Linked DNA regions of Macaca fascicularis. The protein of the gene in region 6 interacts with the protein of the main gene of each other region in a pairwise test. Links are inferred from orthologs where the notes say so. Each region holds a gene or a part of one and is shown on either strand. Other genes may lie near its edges. The genes, in order: RALBP1, TRIM54, CDR2, TFIP11, KIFC3, SMARCE1 and CCDC136.

The links.
Region 1: the proteins of SMARCE1 (region 6) and RALBP1 interact in binary tests that used the Homo sapiens proteins (3 or more experiments, as listed by UniProt). The two-hybrid records come from large-scale screens. The link is inferred for Macaca fascicularis from reciprocal best matches to the Homo sapiens genes SMARCE1 and RALBP1.
Region 2: the proteins of SMARCE1 (region 6) and TRIM54 interact in binary tests that used the Homo sapiens proteins (3 or more experiments, as listed by UniProt). The two-hybrid records come from large-scale screens. The link is inferred for Macaca fascicularis from reciprocal best matches to the Homo sapiens genes SMARCE1 and TRIM54.
Region 3: the proteins of SMARCE1 (region 6) and CDR2 interact in binary tests that used the Homo sapiens proteins (3 or more experiments, as listed by UniProt). The two-hybrid records come from large-scale screens. The link is inferred for Macaca fascicularis from reciprocal best matches to the Homo sapiens genes SMARCE1 and CDR2.
Region 4: the proteins of SMARCE1 (region 6) and TFIP11 interact in binary tests that used the Homo sapiens proteins (3 or more experiments, as listed by UniProt). The two-hybrid records come from large-scale screens. The link is inferred for Macaca fascicularis from reciprocal best matches to the Homo sapiens genes SMARCE1 and TFIP11.
Region 5: the proteins of SMARCE1 (region 6) and KIFC3 interact in binary tests that used the Homo sapiens proteins (3 or more experiments, as listed by UniProt). The two-hybrid records come from large-scale screens. The link is inferred for Macaca fascicularis from reciprocal best matches to the Homo sapiens genes SMARCE1 and KIFC3.
Region 7: the proteins of SMARCE1 (region 6) and CCDC136 interact in binary tests that used the Homo sapiens proteins (3 or more experiments, as listed by UniProt). The two-hybrid records come from large-scale screens. The link is inferred for Macaca fascicularis from reciprocal best matches to the Homo sapiens genes SMARCE1 and CCDC136.

What each region holds. Positions count from the first base shown.
Region 1 is NC_088392.1:77,877,596-77,881,095, reverse strand, and holds part of RALBP1 (ralA-binding protein 1), read right to left. Parts: intron 2,382-3,500; coding exon 2,220-2,381; intron 1,298-2,219; coding exon 1,166-1,297; intron 1-1,165. UniProt on the Homo sapiens protein: Multifunctional protein that functions as a downstream effector of RALA and RALB. As a GTPase-activating protein/GAP can inactivate CDC42 and RAC1 by stimulating their GTPase activity.
Region 2 is NC_088387.1:94,935,227-94,939,195, reverse strand, and holds the start of TRIM54 (tripartite motif-containing protein 54), read left to right. Parts: upstream 1-1,169; 5' UTR 1,170-1,482; coding exon 1,483-1,650; intron 1,651-3,969. UniProt on the Homo sapiens protein: May bind and stabilize microtubules during myotubes formation.
Region 3 is NC_088394.1:21,353,323-21,356,822, forward strand, and holds part of CDR2 (cerebellar degeneration-related protein 2), read right to left. Parts: intron 1,511-3,500; coding exon 1,398-1,510; intron 1-1,397.
Region 4 is NC_088384.1:25,186,325-25,189,824, reverse strand, and holds part of TFIP11 (tuftelin-interacting protein 11), read right to left. Parts: intron 1,954-3,500; coding exon 1,785-1,953; intron 1,375-1,784; coding exon 1,131-1,374; intron 187-1,130; coding exon 44-186; intron 1-43. UniProt on the Homo sapiens protein: Involved in pre-mRNA splicing, specifically in spliceosome disassembly during late-stage splicing events. Intron turnover seems to proceed through reactions in two lariat-intron associated complexes termed Intron Large (IL) and Intron Small (IS).
Region 5 is NC_088394.1:53,871,698-53,875,197, reverse strand, and holds part of KIFC3 (kinesin-like protein KIFC3), read left to right. Parts: intron 1-2,475; coding exon 2,476-2,587; intron 2,588-3,500. UniProt on the Homo sapiens protein: Minus-end microtubule-dependent motor protein. Involved in apically targeted transport. Required for zonula adherens maintenance.
Region 6 is NC_088390.1:61,713,819-61,716,168, reverse strand, and holds part of SMARCE1 (SWI/SNF-related matrix-associated actin-dependent regulator of chromatin subfamily E member 1), read left to right. Parts: intron 1-142; coding exon 143-244; intron 245-912; coding exon 913-1,123; intron 1,124-1,549; coding exon of another isoform or gene 1,550-1,614; exon of another isoform or gene 1,615-1,628; intron 1,629-2,350. UniProt on the Homo sapiens protein: Involved in transcriptional activation and repression of select genes by chromatin remodeling (alteration of DNA-nucleosome topology).
Region 7 is NC_088377.1:170,267,989-170,271,488, reverse strand, and holds part of CCDC136 (coiled-coil domain-containing protein 136), read right to left. Parts: intron 1,983-3,500; coding exon 1,788-1,982; intron 1,291-1,787; coding exon 1,063-1,290; intron 1-1,062. UniProt on the Homo sapiens protein: May play a role in acrosome formation in spermatogenesis and in fertilization.

The DNA.
Region 1 (3,500 bases), on a different chromosome or scaffold from region 6:
GACTCAGGTTGCCTTTGTCTTTTTAACACAACCACAACAGAGACCTACTATCATGTTCCCCAATTCAGGCAAGGGCTAACTAATGATCCTTGGATGTGCTGTTTAGATGCTGCAGTGGATCTGCAATGTGGATTTTAAGGTGATCCAGAGATCTGGGATTTTACTGTTGCTGTGGCTGGTCCACTCACAGTCCCAGAACCAAGCAACACACACTAAACAAGAGGGAACTCAAAAGTCTGACTGGTGTACCCTAAACTCATCAGGTACTGCATGCCCCTCTTCTTCTTATTACATAAATAGAATCTCTCCTGATCTTCAGGACCTTCCAGGCAACCCTCATCACTACATTTCCAAAGAGCTGATACTAAATGCCTCAAATTCCAGCAGTCCCCGAAGGTGTGTCACCATCCAGCCTGCTTCTCATCTGCAGAAAGCCTTGTTTACAGGTATAACCGAGCAGGAAATGACACATTTTTTAGTAAATTCATTTTTAATTAAAACAAAACTTTCTAGGCCAGGCATGGTGGCTTATGCCTATAATCCCAGCACTTTGGGAGGTGGGAGGACTGCTTGAGCCCAGAAGTTTGAGACCAGCCTGGGCAACATAACAAGACCCCATTTCTACAAGCAATAAAAAATCAGCTGAGCATGGTGGCACACACCTGTAGGCCCACCTACTCAGTACTCAGAACGCTGAGGTAGGAGGATCCCTTGAGCCCAGGAGGTCGAGGCTACAGTGAACCATTATCATGCCATTGCACTCCAGCCTGGGTGACAGAGCGAGATCCTGTCTCAAAAAAAATTAAAAAAACGTTCTAGATTACATTGAAACATGTGACTGACACCAGGCTGCAATATCAATAATACAGGACTAGAAACATTTTAGTGAATAAATTTCCCACCAGAGAAGTTCACTTCAAGTGACATTATCTATAATATTCTTAAAAGAAAGAACTTGGGCTGGGCGTGGTGGCTCATGCCTGTAATCCCAGCACTTTGGGGGAGGCCGAGGTGGGAGGATTACTTGAGGCCAAGAGTTTGAGACCAGCCTGGTCAATATCAAAAGAAAAAGGAAAGAAAGAAAATACTTCAAAGAGCACATAAAGGACATAAAAGACTCCAACACGTTCTATTATAAACATTAGGTATCAAACTAGTAACCCACCTGTCTTTTAGCTTCTCTGAGTTTTCTTTTGAGGGCTGTCAAAATTCTTTGTACTTCCCATAATCTTTCTTCTTTAGACAAATCCTTTATCCCGCCCTGCAGATCTCGATGTAAACAATTCAAAAGAAACTCCTAGAAAGCAATGCCACACACTAAGTTGCATTCCATATCCTCTTATCTTAAACAACACATGCAATTTCTAAAGATGAAGAATCAACTATTTTTCAATTATCCTTTATTTCATTAGAGTAAAATAATGGCACTGATATGATTGAAAAATCATTCTTACTGTTTTGCCAATGAATTATTCGCTAATTTGTATTGGTTCAATAATACTTAACATCCCCATCTCCAATGTCATCATCATTAACTAGTAAGAACTGGGAGCTCACGGCAGACACAAGGGAGGAAAAGCAAGCAGGGGTTTGATAAAGTGCATGCAAATAAATAATCAAATGTAATTAACTTTCTTATTTAGTCTTGATTACACACACCCACACAAACACGGCATGGTTACTTCCATCAAAATAACATAGTAAAAACGCCCAGGATTTGGGCTCAACTCTTGGGTCTATAATAAATAATCATGTTACTTAACTTCCCCAAATTTTAATATTCTTATCTATAAAATATGGCTGATGACAGCAACCTTGTCCAGAAAAAGCAAACATTTTTAGACTATTTACAGCGTGCCTGGCCTGTTTCATGTATTGTCTCATTTGTGGCAAAATCTTCACACCAATCCTTTAAGAGGGCCCATTTTAAAGCAAGAACACCAGCGCTTAAGGTGGTTAAGAATTCGCCTAAAATCAGTTATAACTGAGAGCAGAGCAAGAATTTAAAGCCAGGTCTTTTGATTCCAAAAACTATGCTCTTTCCACCATGGTATTCCGACTTATTCAGCATGAAACAGTACCAGATGGGAATTTCTGACTTCAGTGTGCCTCACATAGCTCCAGACACACAGAAAGTGCTCAGGAAACAAGAGCCCATCACCACTGGACTCCACAATGGCCAATGCAGACGCAGGCTGTGGCAGGCAGGGTGCACACACCTGTCTCCTGATCTCCTCCTTGATGCCCGCCTGGGTCTCTGGCAGTGTGGGCATCGTGGCCATGTTAGACCATCGCAGAGGTTTCGTCACTTGCTTTAGTACCACATTTCCAAAGAGTTCTTGCACATGTGTGAAAAACACATACAGGACTCGATTGCTAATCTAAGAAAAAAAGATTTACAAGAAAACCATTAAAATTATCATTCTATTTCAGTTATTTGTGTCTAACATAATATATCCTTTAATCCTGGACACATAAAGAAAATTCTACCCAGTACTGACAACACAGTCTTTGCTAGTTAATGGTCAATTTAAGAAGAAAATGGTCAATTTAAGAAGAAGACTCATAAAATATGAGTTAAATCATGTATTCAAGCACCAGAAAGAATTGAAGAGGAAAAAAAAAAACCAAGAAAAGGATAGAGAAGCTGATGCCCATTCATTTGTTTTTTTTTTCTATCACTACAGTATTAACTGATTAAAACACCTTATGTTTTTTTGAGTATTGTTTTGTTTTTTTGTTTTGAGATGGAGTCTCGCTCTGTAGCCCAGGCTAGAGTACTGTGGCACAATCTCAGCTCACTGCAAGCTCCACCTCATGGGTTCAAGCGATTTTCCTGCCTCAGCCTCTCTGGTAAGCTGGGATTACAGGTGTGCGCCACCACGCCTGATTGATTTTTTTGTATTTTCAGTAGAGATGGGGTTTCACCATGTTGGCCAGGCTGGTCTCGAACTACTGACCTCAAATGATCTACCCACCTCAGCTTCCCAAAGTGCTGCGATTACAGGCATGAGCCACCATGCCCAGCTAAAACATCTTATGTTCTTTATTTTGAACTTACTTTGAGATATTTTAACAGCTACAATGGGCTGAATGAGGACCGTGAGGGAAGTGAGAGCACCACAGCAGTAAAACTGGGTTGAGGTTGAAAGCCCTCACTCCAGAAACAAATACCTGGACACAGCCAGCATTTAAGTGTGGATGTTCACATGCTAGGAGACCAGGGCATTAGGTTGGCTGAAAAGCTACTACAAGAAATTACTTCCTACCTAAAACTTACTCTTACAACACACTTGACTCTTCTATGATACAACCATCTCTATTATATTATAGTAATATTAAGTATCAATGTAATATTTACCAGATCCTGAAATCCTAATATGAATGATCAAACTAAAATCTGAGAAACATTTTGCTTTCAAAGTGTAACCAATGAATAACAGAAGAGTATTTTTTAGAGATAGAATTTTGCTCTGTCACTCAGAGAGGAGTAGAGTGGG
Region 2 (3,969 bases), on a different chromosome or scaffold from region 6:
TCTGGACTCTTTTCCCACTCTTGCCTCTTTGTGCTGCTGTTTCGTATCCTCCTCACACCGTGTATTTCCTACCCACTCAGGGTCACTAGCTACTAACTCCTCAGACTTCTCTTCCTGGACTGGGAGAAGGGCTAAAGAATGGCGGTAAATAAAAGAGCTTTTGTCCAATCCCAAGGCATATTTTGGACCCAGAAAAGACAAATTGTGTCTGGGGTGGAGGAAAAAGGCCTAAAGAAATTGCTTCTTGGCTTTTTGGCTAATATCAAGTGGAGAAAAAGACCTGTAGGAGAAAAAGAAGACCAGTGCTCACAACTGGGGCGAGCCTGGCTTGGAGAGGAGGAGTCCTGGACAACTGTGGAGCTGGGGCAGAGGCTTCCTGGAGCCTTATGATTATGACTTTGTCAGTGCTCTAAAATTTCCCTGGAGGTTGATTCCCTGGGTGCCCAAAATAGGTCCCTGGCATTCATGTCCTTTCTGCCCAGCTCACCTTCTCCCAATTTCCTAACAAATTTGAAGTCCTTAGAGTGGCTCCAGGGATGTGTTCACGAACCAGAATCCCACATTTCCTCGGGCGCATGCTCATAGGTAGGTCCAGGCCTTGGCACAGTACTCATTTCTAGCCTCTTGAGCTTCATTTCCTAGGGTGATATAAGAAAAGGCAGGCAAGAACAAAAATGAGCCAGAGGTATTGGACAAGAGGCTTGATGGAGTCTCTGGAGCTGCTGTTCTGAATCACACAGTCTTGAGGAGGAGGACCAGGGTCACTGGCTGAGCCTGTGGAGGAGGCAACTGCTACTGACTCTAAGTCTGGCAAGATCTTTCCTCCCACCCTGAGCTATGTATGGGTGCTTCTCACACAGGCAGATTTAGATTCTGTGTCACTGTCCTGGAAGAAGGGCCCAAGCCAGAGCAGGGGTCCTGGGCTCAGAGGAGCCTTCAGAGTGAGAGGGCAGCACCTTTGCTGACCCACCTTTCACCGTAAGCAGTGGTGCTTGCCCCTGCCCTTGCTCAGGGGAGTCACCCATTCCTGAGTGAGTCAGGGTCACTCACTCCGTGACAGCTGTGGCTCGCCTTACATGAGCTAAATTGGGAATTGGAATGTCATGCAGATGCCCCTTGTCTCCCCACCCCCACAGTAAAATTAATCTCCTCTCTGGGGAGTAAGGGACAAACAGTGCTACCCACAGAGTGAACAAGAGAGAGTCATTTGGGAAACAAAAGGAGGACTTTACAGAGAGAGAGGGATAGCTAAAACTACGTGAGCCTGCCGAGGGTGCAGAGCAGAAAGTAGAGACAGAAGTGTCTGAAGACTGCTATCTGGGACGAGACAAGTTGTTAAAGGGACAGGAGAGAGAGCAGAGCTATTTCAAGAGTGAGCCACAGAAGGGAATCCACAGGCCGTCTGAGTGAGGAAGGGTCTACAGACAGTGAGTGAAGGCCAGGAGCAGGACCCAAGCCAGGGTAGGCACAACCACCGAGGGGATGAACTTCACCGTGGGTTTCAAGCCGCTGCTAGGGGATGCACACAGCATGGACAACCTGGAGAAGCAGCTCATCTGCCCCATCTGCCTGGAGATGTTCTCCAAACCAGTGGTGATCCTGCCCTGCCAACACAACCTGTGCCGCAAGTGTGCCAACGACGTCTTCCAGGTGGGCGCCAGGGATGGGGCAGGGCCAGGTAAAGCAATGCAGACCTGTGGGGGACTGATCAGGTCAGAGCTAAGACCCCAGAAAGTGATGGATAGAGTGCTCTCTGAGGTAGGTGGTGGCTGTTGTGGCTGGAGAGCAGAAGGGCTGGGGTCCAAGCAAATCCCAGAGCAAGCATGAGTCAGCAGCTGCCCTGCAGGCTGGCAGGTACAGCCTGTCCATAGACGGCAGCTGGAGTGCTGGGATCTGCTGAGGAAAGGAGACCCTGTGGAAACTGGGAGGGAGGGGATCCTACACCGGCCTTTTAAGAGCCTGTGCCAGACTCTGCATTCCAGTTTGGAGTTTCACACTTTGAGAGCATTGCGGAAAATACGGAGAAAAGATTAATGAGATAATGAAACATTAAAAAACAAACAGAAAAAACCCAACCCTGTGAGAAAGCTCCATAATGGCAGTAAAACGATTCGTGTTTAAGGAAAGTTCAGGGCATCCGTTGTGGGGGACAGAGTTAGACGCAGTGGGCAGGAGACTGGGAACTCTCCCCAACTTGAGTTCATACCTGTTACCTCCAGATTGTTGAGTAAAGAGGCCTACTGGTTCAAAGCTATTGAGGTCACTTGACAAGAAGAGAGAAGGCAAAGAAATTTACTTTTAGAAGTCTAGCCAGTTTTGGTTTATTTGTGGTCATGGAGCCAAGCATAGCTAATCAAATTCACAGATACCATTTTAGCCACTGGTTTAGAAATAAAAGCTGCATATACCAGAATGGATTATAAGTGGGCTTTTTTTTCTTTTCCTGTGCTACCGGGGAGGTTCTAGTAGGCTATGAAATGGAACAGAGATCAGGGTGAGGGGCAAAGGCACACACACACACACACACACACACACACACACGCGGCCTTGCCGATTAAGCAAAAGCTCTGAATGTGGCCGGGCGTGGTGGCTCACGCCTGTAATCCCAGCACTTTGGGAGGCGAGGCCGGCGGATCACGAGGTCAGGAGTTCGAGACCGGCCTGGCCAATATGGTGAAACCCCATCTCTACCAAAAATACAAAAATTAGCTAGGCGTGGTGGCAGGCGCCTGTAGTCCCAGCTCCTCAGGAGGCTGAGGCAGGAGAATCACTTGAACCCAGGAGGCGGAGGTTGCCATGAGTCGAGATCATGCCATTGTACTCTGACCTGGGTGACAGAGCAAGACTCTGTCTCAAAAACACAAAAACAAACCCTGAATAGACCAGAGCTGGCTTAGTATGTGTGTCAGTGATACGGAACATCCCAAACAAGTATTCTTCAGTGTCAGAAATGATGAGGAAATGTGTTAAACACAAGGGATTTTTAACCTAACCAAGAAAATACTTCCCTCTTAAGTTCCTCGGGGCAGCTTGTTTGGGAAAGGAATGGACTGGCTAGGTCCCGCCATCCCACGATGTACCCTGTGACCCGCCCCTTGTATGTCTGCTGTGTGTCATCTTCACTGCAGACCAGCACTCTGTGGTCTCTCCTGCCATCTTCCCATTGAGGCCCATTCCCTCTCCTATTCTTTTATGTGTCCAAACCTGCCATTATTCAGCTCCAGAGTATCTCAGAGGCAGTAGATTTTCCGTCTCGGGGGACCCAGACCAAATGCTATGCCTCCTCATCCTGGGCATGAAGTCCTGCATGAGAGGCAATGCTTTGCCCACCATCTTGGTGTTTCCTTGGTCTGAGGAATTCCGAACATCCTTCAGGCTGAGATGCCTAGGAGGAAATGGCGGAAAGATTTTGCCATCATTTCTCATGAACTGACAGTGAAACATCCTCTCACTGGAACTTGAAATGTGTGAAAACAAAGAGAAGTTTTGAAAGTTAAGGTGACGTGTCCTATAGAAAAGTGGTCAGAATGTCCAAGAGCATTCCTGGGTGCCTCTGTCGTCTGGCAGAGGGGCCCAGGAGCAGTCCCCATACATGGAGGCTAGAATGTGTTCAAGTGACATGCTTGTTTAAGTCAACCCTTTCTACCCAAGCACACTGTTTCAGTTCCAGAAAGCTCTGGAATACTGATCTGGGCTCAGAGAGACCTTGGAATGGCTTGGGGCAAACCCTGTACAGAATATTTGGAGATAACGTGATACCCAGGGCTTTGGGGTGGCCCTGTGGGTCTGGAGTGATGTGTGTCGTTTGAGGTGCAGAGCAGCCCTGGCCCCTCCAAGGAGGAAGAGTGAAGAGCTCATCCCTTGCTGCTTATTTGGGAGGGCCTGGTGGGAGGCTGACCCAGTTCTTCAGCTGCACTCAAGTCTGTATATCTCAATATATCTCAGTAGATCTCCCTCGGAAAGATGAGC
Region 3 (3,500 bases), on a different chromosome or scaffold from region 6:
CTAAGAAAGGACTACGTAATTCTTTACTTGTTTGAATTCCCAGCACCTGGTTCAGGAAATAATCAAAGTTTTAGTAAGTACTCATTATAATGAACTACTTCACCATTCTAGTCTTTTACATTTTTCTGTGCACAGACACAAGAGTCCTGGGTCTACTGTACCAGTTTGAGGGGGAAGCATTTATATAATTTAAGTACAGTCCCCTTGTGGCGGGGAGCATGGGTTGGGACATGGACAAAGGTGTTCTGATGGGACACTGTCTGGTTAATATCCATTATTATCTTTGCAGTCAAGTGGCCTACACATAACTGAACTACTTGAATGGGACCGTTTATAAGATTAGCAGCATGGAGGGCCATTTTAACGCCCTAGTCTAGCATCTTTCATTTTAGTTTTGTTAAGCTAGGCAAAAGGTATTATATTATTATATTTTTTTATTGAGACAAGGTCTCGCTCCCATCTCCTAACCTGGAGTGTACTGGCACAATCACGGCTCACTGTAGCCTTGACTTCCCAGGTTCAGGTGATTCTCCCACCTTTGTCTCCCAAGTAGCTGGGACTACAGGCACACGCCACCACACCAGACTAATTTTTATATTTTTTTGTAGAGATGGGGCTTCACCGGGTTGCCCAGGCTGGTCTCGAATTCCTGAGCTTGAGCAATCTGTCTCCCTCAGCATCCTAAAGTGCTGAGATTACAGGCATATGCCACCACACTCAGTCAAAAATGTAGTATTTTAATGATAAAATATCCAGCAAAAATGTCAACAAATCAAGATCACAGCAGAGAGAAAGCAACATGTATTTTATGATTATTTGAATGGAGCAAAACATCTGAACACATTGTGAAATAAGGAGCCATGATTTTTTTTTTTTTTTTTTTTCCAAATTTAGGATATGGTTTAGTAGTAGGTGGGAGGGATATGCGACCAAGGAGGAGGTGTAAGTTCCCTCTCTGGTGGGAAGTTCAACAGTGTGGGTAGTCGTCTTTCTTAAGCTAGGTGGTGGATATATGAGTATTCATAGTATTGTTCTCTTAAACACCATTCTGTATATCTTAAATATTGCATTTTTTAGGCTGGGTGTGGTGGCTCATGCCTGTAATACCAGCACTTTCGGAAGCCAAGGCAGGTGGATCACCTGAGGTCAGGAGTTCGAGACCAGCCTGGCCAACATGGTGAAACCCTATCTCTACTAAAAATACAAAAATTAGCTGGGCGTGGTGGCAGGCGCCTGTAATCCCAGCTACTCGGGAGGCGGTTCTTATTCTCAAAACAGTCTGTGTTAAAAAATAAAATGCTGTGTCTAATTGCAAGTGTTATTTTACCAGTATGTGATTGACATAACAACAACACATCAAAGTGTCAAAAGTGTAACTCTCCTGCCGAGTGAATTACCTCAATTTCCTGTAACTGCTCCTGATTGGTTGTATACATCTGCTGAAGAGAGTCCTCCAACTCTGTGTTCCGATCCAGTAATGTCTTCCCAAGCTCAGCAGCAAGTTGGAGATCTAGCACAACAAACGAATCTTAGAATACAAATGATCTCACATCAACAATTTATATAACCGAGTCCTTCAAAAAAGAACATGTAGTTTAGGTCACATCCCAATGGAAGGTTGAGTGGCACAGAAGGAAACCTGAGTTCTACTTAAAATTCAGTTAAACTGATGCCTCCAGCAGGTAAAGTATTCTCTTATGTACCCATACTTGTAAGAAGTGAAAAATAGTCATCTACTTTATGGAGATGCAGTTATTTGTTCAGGAATGATCATTCCGCAGTGTTACTTCTAAAATCCCATTTGCTAGTAGAATCGATGTATTCATATCCCGACAAGTCTACTTTTTTGAATGGACCCTTGAGCCAAAGTATAGGTGGAGCTTTCAAAAATCTTTAAAGTTCCCATGAATTTGGCTGCTGTGAATACAACTGTTAAAGTTTATTGTCATATATCCTGGGCTCCTAAGGGGACTAAAAATTATTCAGTCAAGAAAAGGAAAAATACATCAGCATTAAGAACACTGCCCCAGGTCACTCTACTTTTCTTTGTATCCTTCTGCAAGATGAACAACTAGAAAAGCAAAACAGCAATGTGGTTTTCGAGGTAATTACATGTCAGTAGCTCATACTTCCATTTAGCACAGAATTATATTTTATTTTAAATCTCATTTTTCAACTCTCTCTACTCTTAGGCATAATGTCCATAAAACAGGATTTGTTTATATTATACTCAACTCCCAGAAATGAAAATTTAGTTAACAATATAATAAAGGACACTAGTTGTAACATAGGTCATTGAAATACTTCTCTGCATAATAAATCTTATGGAGCAGGCCTTTGATACAGTGGGAAATGCACTGTACTCTGGGCAGGTAAGTCTCAGGCCCAGTTCTATCATTTACCAGAATACTTTCAATATGGTGACTTTAGAGGCCCCTATAATTAGTATTCTTGTTTAGAGAGATGACTTATTAATATGAGATATGTCTTATCAATATGAGATTGTGAAAATCAAATGAAATAATAATACATAAAGGAGTACTTTACAAACCAAGTTGCAATATGCATACAAAGTACTACTAATATTCACTGATTCACAAATGAATGTTTTTGTCGCCAGGCACTATGCTAAGCATTAGCTACAGAAGAGTGAATAAAATGAAGTCCTGCTTTGCTGATATTCCCAGATTAGTGGAGGAAGTCAGACAAATGAGTAACTAAACTCACGTACTGTGATAAACAGTATTCATGCATGCATGCATATACTCAATAATATTAGACACTATTCTAGGCACTGGGATACTGCCCAGGAGCCATAAGGAACTCACATTAAAAAAAAAATCCCTGCCCTCATGGAGCTTATATTCTACTGGGAGAAACAGCAGAATAAAACATGACAGTGATAAATGCTAAAGAGAAAAAATAAAGCAAGTGGCCGGGCGCGGTGGCTCAAGCCTGTAATCCCAGCACTTTGGGAGGCCGAGACGGGCGGATCACGAGGTCAGGAGATCGAGACCATCCTGGCTAACACGGTGAAACCCCGTCTCTACTAAAAAATACAAAAAACTAGCCGGGCGAGGTGGCGGGCGCCTGTAGTCCCAGCTACTCGGGAGGCTGAGGCAGGAGAATGGCGTAAACCCGGGAGGCGGAGCTTGCAGTGAGCCGAGATGGTGCCACTGCACTCCAGCCTGGGTGACAGAGCCAGACTCCGTCTCAAAAAAATAAATAAATAAATAAAGCAAGAAAGAAGTACAGGAGGAGTGTGGATGTGGGAGGCTGAAATTTAAGAGCATGTGACTAGGGCCACATTAGAATTGATATATGAAGGAACGGAATAAGTGACCCATGTAGATCCGTGTAGGGAAACAGCACTCCAGGCAGAGGCAAGGCAAGTGCAAAGCCCCTGGGAGGAAGCATGACTGAGCCATTAAGGAGGCTGAGGAGAGTGGAGCAGAATGTATTGGGCGGGGTGTCAAATCAGAGGGGCTCCACGATGGCCA
Region 4 (3,500 bases), on a different chromosome or scaffold from region 6:
CCACCCAGTTCCCTCCCCCAGAAAGCCAAGCAAAACAGTGTACCTGAAGCCACTTGGGGAAGAAGTGCTTTTCAAGAAGTCCCACCAGACTAGAGACAGAGATCATCCCTTCCCAGTCGATCACCCAATAGAATGCATCCATGTGCTGCTGGTGGGGGTTAATGACTAGCTCACCAAGACACATCCCTGGAAGAGAAACCCGGTCTATAAGGCACAGCTTTAGTACTGGCAAAGCCACAGAAGCACAAAGAGCAAAGATAATGTCCGTTTTCCTCTCAGGTCACAACAACCTCCACCTCCTGGGTTCAAGTGACTCTTGTGCCTCAGCCTCCTAAGTAGCTGGGAGTACAGGTGTGCACCACCGCGGCCGGCTAATTTTTGTGTTTTTATTAGAGACAGGGTTTTGCCATGTTGCCCAGGCTGGTCTCAAACTCCTGATCTCAGGTGATCTGCCACCTCAGCCTCCCAAAGTGCTGGGATTACAGGCATGAGTCACGGCTCCTGGCGGTTTTTTTTTTTTTTTTTTTTTGAGACAGGGTCTCACCGTTGCCCAGGCTGGAGTGCAATGGCAGATCTCAGCTCACTGCAACCTCTGCCTCCCAGGTTCAAGCCATCCTCCCTAGTAGCTGGGACCACAGGCACATGCCACCACACCTGGCTAGTTTTTGTATTTTTGGTAGAGATGGGGTTTAACCATGTTGCTCAGGCTTTAATCTGCTTTAAAGGTCAAATTTAAGCTCCTGACATAGCAATTCTTAAAAAAAAATATATATATATATATATATATGTTTTTTTTTTTTGCTAAACCAGAAATAACTCCCTAATAATTTAGAATAAAATACCACAAAAATTTCAGAACTCCAATGGCTGTCCTGTTACCAGAAGCCAAAGCCAATCAGGAAAACCACAAGGCACAGAGTCCGATGTTGTTACTGTCAACTATTAGTCGCTGTTGTAAACAAACAGCGGAAAGGACCCAAGTTACATTTATGTTCAGCCTCTGAACAGCAAGGAATATTGTGTACTAAGCACTTTCATGAATACAAAGGCTATGCTTTAAATCACCACTGACCAAGAAACCAGGGCACCAAAGCTGCTGGGCTTGGACTGCATTTTCCCCATATCCTTACCCAGCTTGGGCACTATGTTTTTGACCATGAATGCTTCCCAGGAGCCAGGAGTGAAGACATCCTTCCAGGGCTGGAGGATAAGCTTGGCAGAGGAGTCACTGGGGTGCCACTTCTGCAGGGCACTGGACAGCTTGCTACGGATGGGGGAATAGAGCGGCTCCAGCCGTGCCTGCATAAGGGGCAACCATGGGTGGATCCAAGAGTGGATGGGAACAGTGTCTGTGAGCGGGTTCCAGTTTTCCACCTGCAATGTGGGGAGAAGAAACAGAAGAAACAGTTCATGTCGCCTATTGGGCAGTCACATAACACCCGTGTGGTTAAAGGCAAGAGCTGCCCCTGGAGGAGGCCCCATGCTCTCCAAGGCCCATGGTCCTTTGTACATCGCCAAACAAATATGCCCATTCATTTGATTACCTCTCAGAAATAGCATAATTCTAATTTTAGTGAAGAAATCAAGAAAATGAATTCCCTCCTGAGGGTGGCTTGGGGGGAAAAGTGCTGAGAAAAAGGCTGGAATTAACACTCTAGGTCAACAGTTGTGTTGACAAATTCTGTTAATTCCAGGCATTTTAACAGCACTGAGATAATGAAGACATAGACTGAACAAGTCCCTGTAGTTAGTGATGACAGTTGTTCCTGTGACTCTCACCCCACCTCCTTTTGCAGCTTGGGGAAGATGAGTTGGTCCAGTATGTTATCTAAGATCCACACAGGAATGATGTGCACCCAACTATCCAAAAAGTCCACCATCGGGTCACAGTTCCTTGGCTGCCACTGAGTGACAATATTTCGAACAAAAGGCATCCAGACTTCCCATATCAACCTATGGGAGAAAGGCAGAGGACAGGCTGGTTAATTACACTGATTGGTTTCAAAGAACACCACCACCGCCCACCTCTCTAGAATCAGAAATAAAAATGCAACAGCATGGAAATCCGATCAGAGGAAACCATCAGGCCAGTCACCATGCTGGCCAGACCTGAGCCTGCTTCTTCCTTGTTCTCGTGACTCTCCTCTCGAACTGAGGCCTTGGTCTCGTAGGCAGTGCCCGCCCACCTGGCAGAGCTGCTTTAGGGTCACAAGGGTCTCTTCCTAGGTATCAAGTGCTTTCCCACCTATAGGCTTCTATTCATGAGCTGACATCTCTCACCCTCTGATCACAGTTTCAATGTCACCTCCTCTAAGACCTCTGTCCTAACCCCCATTCCAAGGAGGTCGCTCCTGCAGTTTTCTATCGCTGTACCTGGTGTGCATCCTGCCTTTATTTGTTCACTACCTTATTTCCCATCTGCCTTTTCTGCTGTACTAAAGACAGAGGCTGTCTGCTGTACTAGGGTAAGCCCAGCACCTAGCACAAGCATGATATTCAACAGACATTTGACAAGTGTCAGCTGAATTCATGGCCAAATGTAATTGTACAACCACTATGGAAAACAGTGTGGAGATTCCTTAGAAAACTAAAAGTACAACCACCATTTGATCCAGCAATCCCACTACTGGGTATCTACCCAGAAGAAAAGAAGTCATGGCTGGGTGCGGTGGCTCACGCCTGTAAACCCAGCACTTTGGGAGGCCAAGGCAGGCGGATCATGAGGTCAAGAGATTGAGACTATCCTGGCCATCATGGTGAAACCCTGTGTCTACTAAAAATACAAAAGTTAGCTGGGCGTGGTGGTGCATGCCCGTAGTCCCAGCTACTTGGGAGGCTGAGGCAGGAGAATTGCTTGAACCCCGGAGGCAGAGGTTGCAGTGAGCCAAGATCACGCCACTGTACTCCAGCCTGGCGACAAAGCGAGACTTCATCTCAAAAAAAAAAACACAAAAGAAGTCATTTTATGAAAAAGATATTTGCTCACACAAGTTTACAGTAGCACAATTCACAACTGCAAAAATGTGGAACCAACCCAAATGCCCACCAATCAACAAGTAGATAAAGAAACTGGTACATATATATATAATGGAATATGACTCAGCCATAAAAAGGAATGAATTAATGGCATTCGCAGCAACCTGGTTGGAATTGGAGACTACTATTCTAAGTGAAGTAACTCAAGAATGGAAAACCAAACATCTTGTGTTTTCACTCATAAGCGGAAGCTAAGCTATGAGGATGCAAAGGCGTAAGAATGACACAATGGACTTTGGGGACTTGGGGAAAGGGTGAACGGGGTGCGGGATAAAAGACTACAAATTAAGCCAGGCACGGTGGCTCACGCCTGTAATCCCAGCACTTTGGGAGGCCAAGGCGGGTGGATCACGAGATCAGGGGATGGAGATCATCCTGGCCAACATGGTGAAACCCTGTCTCTACTAAAAATACAAACATTAGCTGGGTGTGGTGGTGCGTGCCTGTGATCCCAGCTACTCGGG
Region 5 (3,500 bases), on a different chromosome or scaffold from region 6:
ATTCCAGTTACTGAGGAGGCTGAGGCAGGAGAATCACTTGAACCCGGGAGGTGGAGGTTGCAGTGAACCAAGATCGTGCCACTACACTCTAGCCTGGGTGACAGCGAGACTCTATCTCAAAAACAAAAAACATGCTACATACATATTTTTTAAAAAATTATTTATTAGAGACAGGGTTCATTATGTTGCCCAGGCTGGTCTTGAACTCCTGGCTTCAAGCAGTCCTCCTGCCTTGGCCTCCCACAGTGCTGAGATTATTGGTGTGAGCCACCATGACTGGCCGATACAGTCTTATCTCTGTTAGGTTTAACTTAATTCTTTCAAGCTGTACTTGTATATATGAGAATAGCCAGTGCCTCTTAAGTGCCTCCTACATGTCGAGCTGTTTATAGCCGTTAGCTCCTTGAATTTGTATGATAGCTTTGCAAAGACTAATATATTTTGGGAACAGAATATAGTTCTTCTTTTTTTTTTTTTTTTTTTTTTTTTTTTTGAGACGGAGTCTTGCTCTGTCGCCCAGGCTGGAGTGCAGTGGCGCGATCTTGGCTCACTGCAAGCTCCGCCTCCCGGGTTCACGCCATTCTCCTGCCTCAGCCTCCTGAGTAGCTAGGACTACAGGCGCCCACAACCGCGCCCGGCTAATTTTTTGTATTTTTAGTAGAGACGGGGTTTCACCGTGGTCTCGATCTCCTGACCTTGTGATCCGCCCGCCTCGGCCTCCCAAAGTGCTGGGATTACAGGCGTGAGCCACCGCGCCCGGCTATAGTTCTTCTTTAAAAGAGTATGTCAATAATACGTGGACATGGTGAAAAGTCAAACTCCATAGCGGGGCATCAGGTGAATAGGAAAGGCCTCTCTGCCACCCACCCAACTCCCCCAGTGTGGCCTCTCAGCATTTCCCCCTGACCATTCTGAGCATGCTTAAGCCAATTGATATGTGTGTGTGTGAATATATGGTAGGCCCCTCCCCCACTCACAGGTTCTGCGCTCCCAGATTCAAGCAACCACAGATCAAAAATATTTGAAAAAGATTAAAAATAACAGTACAACATTTAAAAATAATAGAAGTAAAAATAACATATAACAACTATTTACACAGCATTTTTTTTTTTTTTTTTGAGACAGTGTTTCGCTCTTGTTGCCCAGGCTGGAGTGCAATGGCGGGATCTCAGCTTACTGCAACCTCTACCTCCCGGGTTCAAGTGACTCTCCTGCCTCAGCCTCCTCAGTAGCTGGGATTACAGGCACATGCCACCATGCCCAGCTAGGTTTTTTTGTTGTTGTTGTTGATTTGTATTTTTAATAGAGGCAGGACTTCACCATGTTGGCCAGGCTGGTTTTGAACTCCTGACCTCAGGTGATCTGCTCACCTTGACCTCCCCAAGTGCTGGGATTACAGGCATGAGCCACCGCACCCAGCCCCTACCTGGCATTTTCATTGTATTAGGTATTGTAAGTAACCTGGAGATGATTTAAAGGACATGGGCGGGGCTGGGCACAGTGGCTCATGCCTGTAATCATAACACTTCAGGAGGCTGAGGCAGGAGGAGCACTTGAGCCCAGGAGTTCAAGACAAGTCTGGACAACATAGTGGGACCCCATCTCTACAAAAATAAAAAAACTAGCTGAGTGCTGTGTCCTGCACCTGTAGTCCCAGCTACTCTGGAGGCTGAGGTGGGAGGATCGCTTGGGCCTGGGAAGTCGAGGCTACAGTGAGCCAAGATAACACCATTCATGGTGAGTTTCCACCACGTCCACGGAGCTGTGATTGCACTCCAGCCTGGGCAACAGAGCAAGACCCTGTCTCAAAAAAGTAAAGTATATGGGAGGATATGTGTAGGTCACAGGCAAACACTATATCATTTTATATCTGGGGCTTGAGCATCTGTGGAGTTTTATATCCTCCATGGTTACCAAGGGACGACTGTATACACTGTATACACTTTCCTTCTACCCCAGAAAGGGGACGTGTGATTCTGTATACAGCGGGATACTGTATGTGTGATTTTGCATCTTCTTTCCCCCTGTGAAATGTAACTGGGAGATCTTTATAGATTCATGATTTAGATGGTATTATCCCTGTTTTCCAGATGTGAAAATTGAGGCTTAAAGACATTGAGTCAGCAGTCTCAGATCCCCAGCTACTCAGGGGCAGAGCTGGAATTTGAGTCTGGTTGAATCACATAGTCAAGCACTCATGCTATGGTGTGGAGGCTGAGTCCTGGCTCTATGCTTATTAGCAGAGCAGCCTTGAGCTGTCAGCTTAGAGTCTCTGGGGCTCAGTTTCATCATCTGTAAAATGGGGATGGCAGCAGTACCTACCCAGAGGGGTGATTGCAATAGTCTGACATGTGATAGTGTGTGTCAGGTACTCAGCCAGGGGCAGGAGGCAGTGAGCACCCCTCAGGGGTGGGCAGTTGGGCCAGCAAGGCTGATGGAGCTGACCCCCTGACAGTGGTGTGCACCCCCCACCAGATAGGCCAGGCCATCGAGGAGGTCAACAGCAACAACCAGGAGCTGCTGCGCAAGTACCGCCGTGAGCTGCAGCTGCGCAAGAAGTGCCACAACGAGCTCGTGCGGCTGAAAGGTGACTGCAGGAGGGCTGGGGGTGGACACCAGCCTCGGGGCCTCGACCTGGCTTGGCAGTCATGCCTGGAGCTCACCCCACCGTTGAGGCGCTATTCTAATCCCATCTCTGTAGATAAGGAAACAGAGGCACAGAGAAGGCAGGGAACTTGCTCAAAGCCACAGGGATATTAAATGGTCCGCCTTGGATTTGAACTTGAGTCTGTCCAGCTCAGAAGCCCTGGCCCCAGTGCTTGGGCAGGTGACTCCCCAGGCCCTGGATGGCCGAGGGGTGTGGTACTGCAGCACTGGGTTGTTGGCAGCTGGAAAGCCACTTGTTCTGACCTGGGGCCTGGTCAAGCTTGAGACTCCACCATGCACTGCATGGAGCTCTAGAGTGCCTGCTCTGTGCCAGGTGCCGTTCCAGCCCGAGGCTATGGTCATGGCCCCACAGACTGCCTCCTGGTGCTCACTTTAGTATGAGAATGGACAATGGTGATTGTCAGGGAACCCCAACCCTGCCCCTTTCCAGGGCTGAGACAGGCTCTCCTGGGTATGGGACAGGCAAATGTGTTGAGGGGCTTCCCAGAGAAGGCAAAGTTAGAGCTGAGACCTGGATGGTGAGCTGGAACAGATGGGTGAAAAGGGAGGGCAGGTGGGCCATGCTGGAAGTGGGGGATGTTTCCTCTTCATTACAAGAACACAGGAATCCCAACGAAGGCTGGAAGTAGATGGTGGCATGACCAGCTCATGCTGCCAGATACCCTTGTGGCTGCCCCACTATCTGGGCCCTCAGATACACCATCAGTCATCACCTGCTGCCAGGCCTATATGCCCATCTGATTCCTAAGCCCTGTCCTGCCATTCAGAAGGCTCTTTGCTCACTGGGGCCCAAGCCCCTCATTGTCTAGATGAAGAAACTGAAGTCCAGGGAG
Region 6 (2,350 bases):
TGCTGCATTTTGTATTTTTTAAATCTTAGCTAGACTCATGTAATAAATGATCTAAAGTTCAAAACATTATTTGGTACACTGTTTGAAAGTATGAACCATTAAAACAGGAGATATGATTGTAAAGCCTGATCCTGTCTTGCAGCGAAAACTAGAAGCTGAACTTCTTCAAATAGAGGAACGACACCAGGAGAAGAAGAGGAAATTCCTGGAAAGCACAGATTCATTTAACAATGAACTTAAAAGGGTATCTGTTTAATATGTTAACTATACTTTTATCACCGTACCTGTTACTTTACTTTTCCTCATTCTTTTTTCCAAAATAGTATTTTTATTGAATGTTGTTCACTTTGAAACAGGGCTAACTTTACTATAAAACCTGTAAGATCTTTTTTTTTTTATAAAATTGTTCCCATTCTCTTGACAAAATTGCAATAAATTTGAAATATCATGAAGTATATGCATATCTACTAGGCCTATAAATGCTAGAGCCCTCTGATATTTTAAACTCCCATACAGTCATTAACTACTTTCATTTTATTGTGATTTATTCATCAAATGTCTTCATTAAATGTAATTTATAGTTTGCACTTTGCATTCAGACAAGGAAATCTAGTTGGTAGCCCAGAATGTAAAATGGAAGCCTTATGTATACCCCAGAATTTTCACTATTTTGCCTCACCAGCTGCTCTGGAATATCCCATATTATATGACTGCTAGAGCAGTTTTCTTTTCTTGTAGACCCAAGAGTTTCAGAGAAGACCTAGAACCACATTTTTTTGCGCACATACACAGACACACAGGTGTATAGATATATATATAGTTCATAGGCAAGGAAACCAACTTTTGAAAGAATATATCTGGCTCAGAAATTATAAGGAAAAACATTACCGAGTTCTGTTTTTTTCTGACTAGTTGTGCGGTCTGAAAGTAGAAGTGGATATGGAGAAAATTGCAGCTGAGATTGCACAGGCAGAGGAACAGGCCCGCAAAAGGCAGGAGGAAAGGGAGAAGGAGGCCGCAGAGCAAGCTGAGCGCAGTCAGAGCAGCATCGTTCCTGAGGAAGAACAAGCAGCCAACAAAGGCGAGGAGAAGAAAGACGATGAGAACATTCCAATGGAGACAGGTAACCCACTAGCAACAAACGCAAAGGAAGTGCCAAGACTTTGTATGGCTGTCTTTAATTTGGGTTTTTCTTTCTAAGTGCAGGTATTCTGGTACCTGCCACTGAGGGTGATTCCGAGTACTAGATTTGACATGATACTGACATTCAAAATTTTAACCTTTAATGCTTACATTATTTATCAAGATGTGGTTATTACTGTTAAGATTAATTGTCTTTGGTGTCCTAGGACAGCATTCTGCAAAGTAATACCTGTAAGGCAATCCTGCCCATCACTTGTTTTTGTAAATAAAACTGGAACACAGCCACACTTGTTTGTTTACATACTGTCTGTGGCTGCTTTGGGGCTAAAACAGTATAGTTGAGTAGTTGGAGCAAAAACTGCCTGACCTGCGAAGTCTAAAATATTTTCTGTCTGGCTCTTTACAGAAAAAAATTGCCAGCTCTATCCTAGAAAAACCCTTACTTCTAGGTATACTGATTTTCCTGATTAAAAGCATCCCTCAAGGTAAAAAAATAAAATTAAAAATAACTTGTATAAATAAAACTTACATAAAGTACTGATTACATTGATCATCACTTGTAATTTTGAGATCACCTTACCTCATAGCACTGTTTTGACACTGCCTAGTACACTGTGTAAACAGGACTCAGCTAAAAGTAGTTATGGAAAACAAAACCAAAGGCTTCCTGGAGCATCGTTGAAAGAAGTGGGAGGGACAGTAGTGATACTTGGTTCTCAAATGACAACCTCCAAGTGCCATACTTTGTACTCAAATGACAGCCATCTGGAAAACATGAATGGAATATAGATATCTTTCCCAGGTATTTCTGCAAAATTTAATCCAGCAGATTAACATTTTAAATAGTCATATTTTAAGTTTAACTCTCTGAGTCTCTTTCTGTTTTGTATGAACGTGAATTCATTCATCTTAATGAATTTGGAGCATGAGCACATTTTTGTGGTTAAAACAAAAGCTTGCAAAATAAAATACTGATTTTTGCTAATTTTACAACTAGACGAACACTCAGTCGTTTGCCTCTGTTTTGGCATCTATGAATGGGGCATGTCTTATGCTTAAGGTTTGCAGGTCTTTACTCAGGTTCTGTCCTCCTAGTTCAAGGAAAAAACCTGAAGAAAATTGTTTGAGACTATTAGAGCCAAAACCTCATGCTTTTAATTTCTTACAGGAAACAGCCCAGCATGACTTTAAACAAAGTGTCTAAAAG
Region 7 (3,500 bases), on a different chromosome or scaffold from region 6:
AGTCTCCCTGCCCACCCCTAGTTGTAAAATCAGCCTGGCCTTGAACGCGGCAATATGAAGAACTGGAATCAAAGTCTCACTATTAGTTCCTGTATCTCCTGCCCCAATTCTGAATCTGGCCTCTGGGCATGTTTCCCAGGCTCTCTGGGCCTGGCTTCTTGGCGCTGATGTCCAGGATGAGATCTGATCAGTTAAGGAAATATTTTATACCTGGTTCCCAGCTGTGTTACCCAGGCCTGCAGCCTGGACATCTGCTGCCCCTGGAATATGATCCAGCCTCACAGTGTTGACTTCTGCTACTCCCTGGTTCTCCTTGTTCAGAATAAGATCTGAATGAATAGATTCGGCCTAAACCGAAACTGTCTACCTGCCCCTCCTCACCCACGCTGAGACCTCAGAACAACTTTAGCCCCCAACCCTGAATAGAATTGTACGGTGATCTCCACCTGTGTCACCTCATCGGTATGACCCCTTGCTGGTACTTGAAAGGCATCGATTTTCTGGTCTAACCCCTGTGACCTTGCTCTGTTATTGCCACCAAAGTTCCAATGAAGATAGTGTGGTCAGTACTAAGAACCCCATGTGCTAGGAATTCTTCTCTTGGAAATGAAAGGGCCCAAATTTGCCTCACAGATAACACCAAAGGTGAACGATTTTGATAACTGAGAACCGTACTTTTCCACTCAAGAAAAAGATGACATGTTTAGAGTCAGTCCAAAGGAATCCAACTATACATCTTACTAGGAATGAGTCAAATGATCCGATGACAGATTTTGGGTCATCCCAGCTCTGCCCTGAGTGCTCACAGTGCTTCAACTGGGCACTGTGAATATCAATATGATAAAGGATAATGGCATCTAGGTGAGGTCCTCAGGCTGTATCTAAAAGCCACCTCTTAATGGAGCCTGAAAGAGGTCACAGGTGGTGAAGGGCAGGGCTTTAGCCTTATCCTTACCCCTGGCCAAACAGGCCTTCCCAACTCTGACCCTTCAGCAGTGCCCACTCTCCCTGTCATGCTGCTGTGCTCAGGAGAACTGTCTCCCTACCTCTTGCTATGGTTACCTTGTTTCGATTATATTTTGAGGACTTAGCCAATTTGGAATCATCGGGATTCTCCAGCACTTCCTGGAAATGAGACTCTTTGAAACGTCGCAGCTCTTCGTGGATCTCTAATTGTTCTTTTAATACACAGTCCTGGTTCTGTATCAGCTTCTTCTGTTCCTCCTGCATGCCTTGGTAGAGCAGCTGCAGCTCACACAGGTCTTCTAACTTGGTGAGTAGCTCCTGACTCTGAGGCGGAGTAGAAGGAAGGAGGCAAGGGATTGTGGTGGTTACACAGAAAGTCCGATGCCTCCTTGGTGCCTCATCCCTGCTGTGAACAATTCCCTGAAGAATCTCAGGGCTGGCTTCACAGAGCCCATCTGGGGACAGGGGGAGTCTTTCTATGGAGACCAGCTAAAAGTAGCAATGGTTTCTTACGTTGGGATATATTTTGTCATTTACAAAGTGGTTTCAGGTGCATTTTCTCCAGATGGACTAAATAACTAAATATAAACTGCTGCACAGATTCCAGAGTATAAAAGGTATTTTAAGATTTAAAGCCCTTATAAGAAAAACTCTAATTGGCTCTATGGAGCTTTTTGGTTTGGGGAGAGTGGTGAGAAAGTAAGGAGTCATTGGTAAGAAGAAGAAAAAGTTCAACCTCCACCCTTCTATTTTTCCCTAGTCACACAGGGAAGCTTCTCAGAGCAGCTTCCCCAGTTAGCAGCTGCCTCTGGCGGAGTTACCTTGAGTAAGAGGCCACTCTTGGGCAGTGGCAGTGTGAGCCTGTGCAGCTCTTCCTGCAGCTGGCCCTGCTCCTCCTGCATCCTCCTCTGGTCCTCCAGGAGCTCACACTGCTCCATCTGCAGCTGCCCCATCTCCTTCTGGCTGGCCTTGTACTTTTCCTGCAATTCTGTCAGTCTGGACAGCAGTGTGTCACACTGTGGGTGGGGGCGGGTGCGGAGGGGGTGGTTACTCTGTAAGGTAAGCTTCCTGGGTGGCTAACAGAGCACTTCCGCGCTCTCCTGCCTCTTGTGATTCTCTCCCTGTGCAGTCACTTTGGACTGGTCACCCCAAGCCACAATGCACCCTGGCTGTTTAGATACCGATTGGGGATCCCCCACAGGCTGGTCTTTCAGAGCAGGTTGCTCTAGACTGGTGGCTGGCCTTGCTCTAAACTTCTACCATTCCTTTCTGGGGGCAGTTTGATGGCGAATGCTATCGATGCCCCTTTCCTCTTCTCTGGCCCTTTCCTTTGGTGTATACACCATATTCCCACCCTGCTGGGAACTCTTAGCTCCTGTTATTCTCATTAACCCCAGTTGTTTTTGAATGCAATTACACTCCTTACCAATAAGGACCTAATTTCACCCTAATTTTTCCCATTTTTGCTTTCCTAATTCTCTCTTTATATCTTTAGAAAGTATGCGCTATTGCTGAATTTGGATTGAGAAGTCTAAATCATCCCATTTCCAAAAACCCAAATCTTCCAGTATCAGACAGATCTCAATGCTGTTTTATGGCTAGAGAAAAAAACAGGTGCTGTCTGCCAGCATGCTTCTCCTTTCCCATCGTTTTTCCCATTAGGGGAAGAGGTGACGAGCAAGTCACGGATCCCCTGGGCTCCTAAATTGAGTAGAAGTGGAAAAAGGAGGAAACGTGAGCCTGGATATAGAAAGGCAAAGAGACTGTTGAGGTAGCCCAAATAACCTTCCCAGTCCTCTGTCTCCTGAAGGCCTTTCCCCAGGGACAGGAACTACTGAGTTTCTGGCAGAATGTGACCAGCTCCACCATCTTTAGAGACTCTTGGGCCTTTTCTCCAACATGCTTCAACACCTTTCCATTTCCCATCAGTAATCAGGAGCTGAAAGTGCTCAACAGGATAAATGATAACGGCTTGCATTTTATACACTATGGAAAAGAAAAAAAATGAATAAGCCCTTATTTATCACTATCAGGATTTACTACTAAAAGGAAGTGAGATAAGAGTAGAATTCTCTTCCATTTAAAGAGGGCACAATTCAACCTTCAACAATTTAATTACTGGCAGGGCATGGCAGCTCATGCCTGTCATCGAAGCTTGGGAGGCCGAGGCAGGTGGATTACCTGAGGTCAGGAGTTCGAGACCAGCCTGACCAACATGGTGAAACCTCGTCTCAACTAAAAATACAAAAATTAGCCAGGCGCGGTGGCATGTGCCTGTAGTCCCAGCTACTCGGGAGGCTGAGACAGGAAAATCGCTTGAAACCAGGAGGCAGAGGCTGCAGTGAGCTGAGATCGTGTCACTGCACTCCAGCCTGGGTGACAGAGTGAGACTCTGTTTCAACAACAACAACAACAACAAAGAATTTAACTACTTCAAAGTCACAGAATAAATCCTGAAAGAGCCTAGGTCCTTCTCTTGCCTAGTCAGCACTCTATATTCCATTGTCTACATACATGGAATCATGTGTAAAACC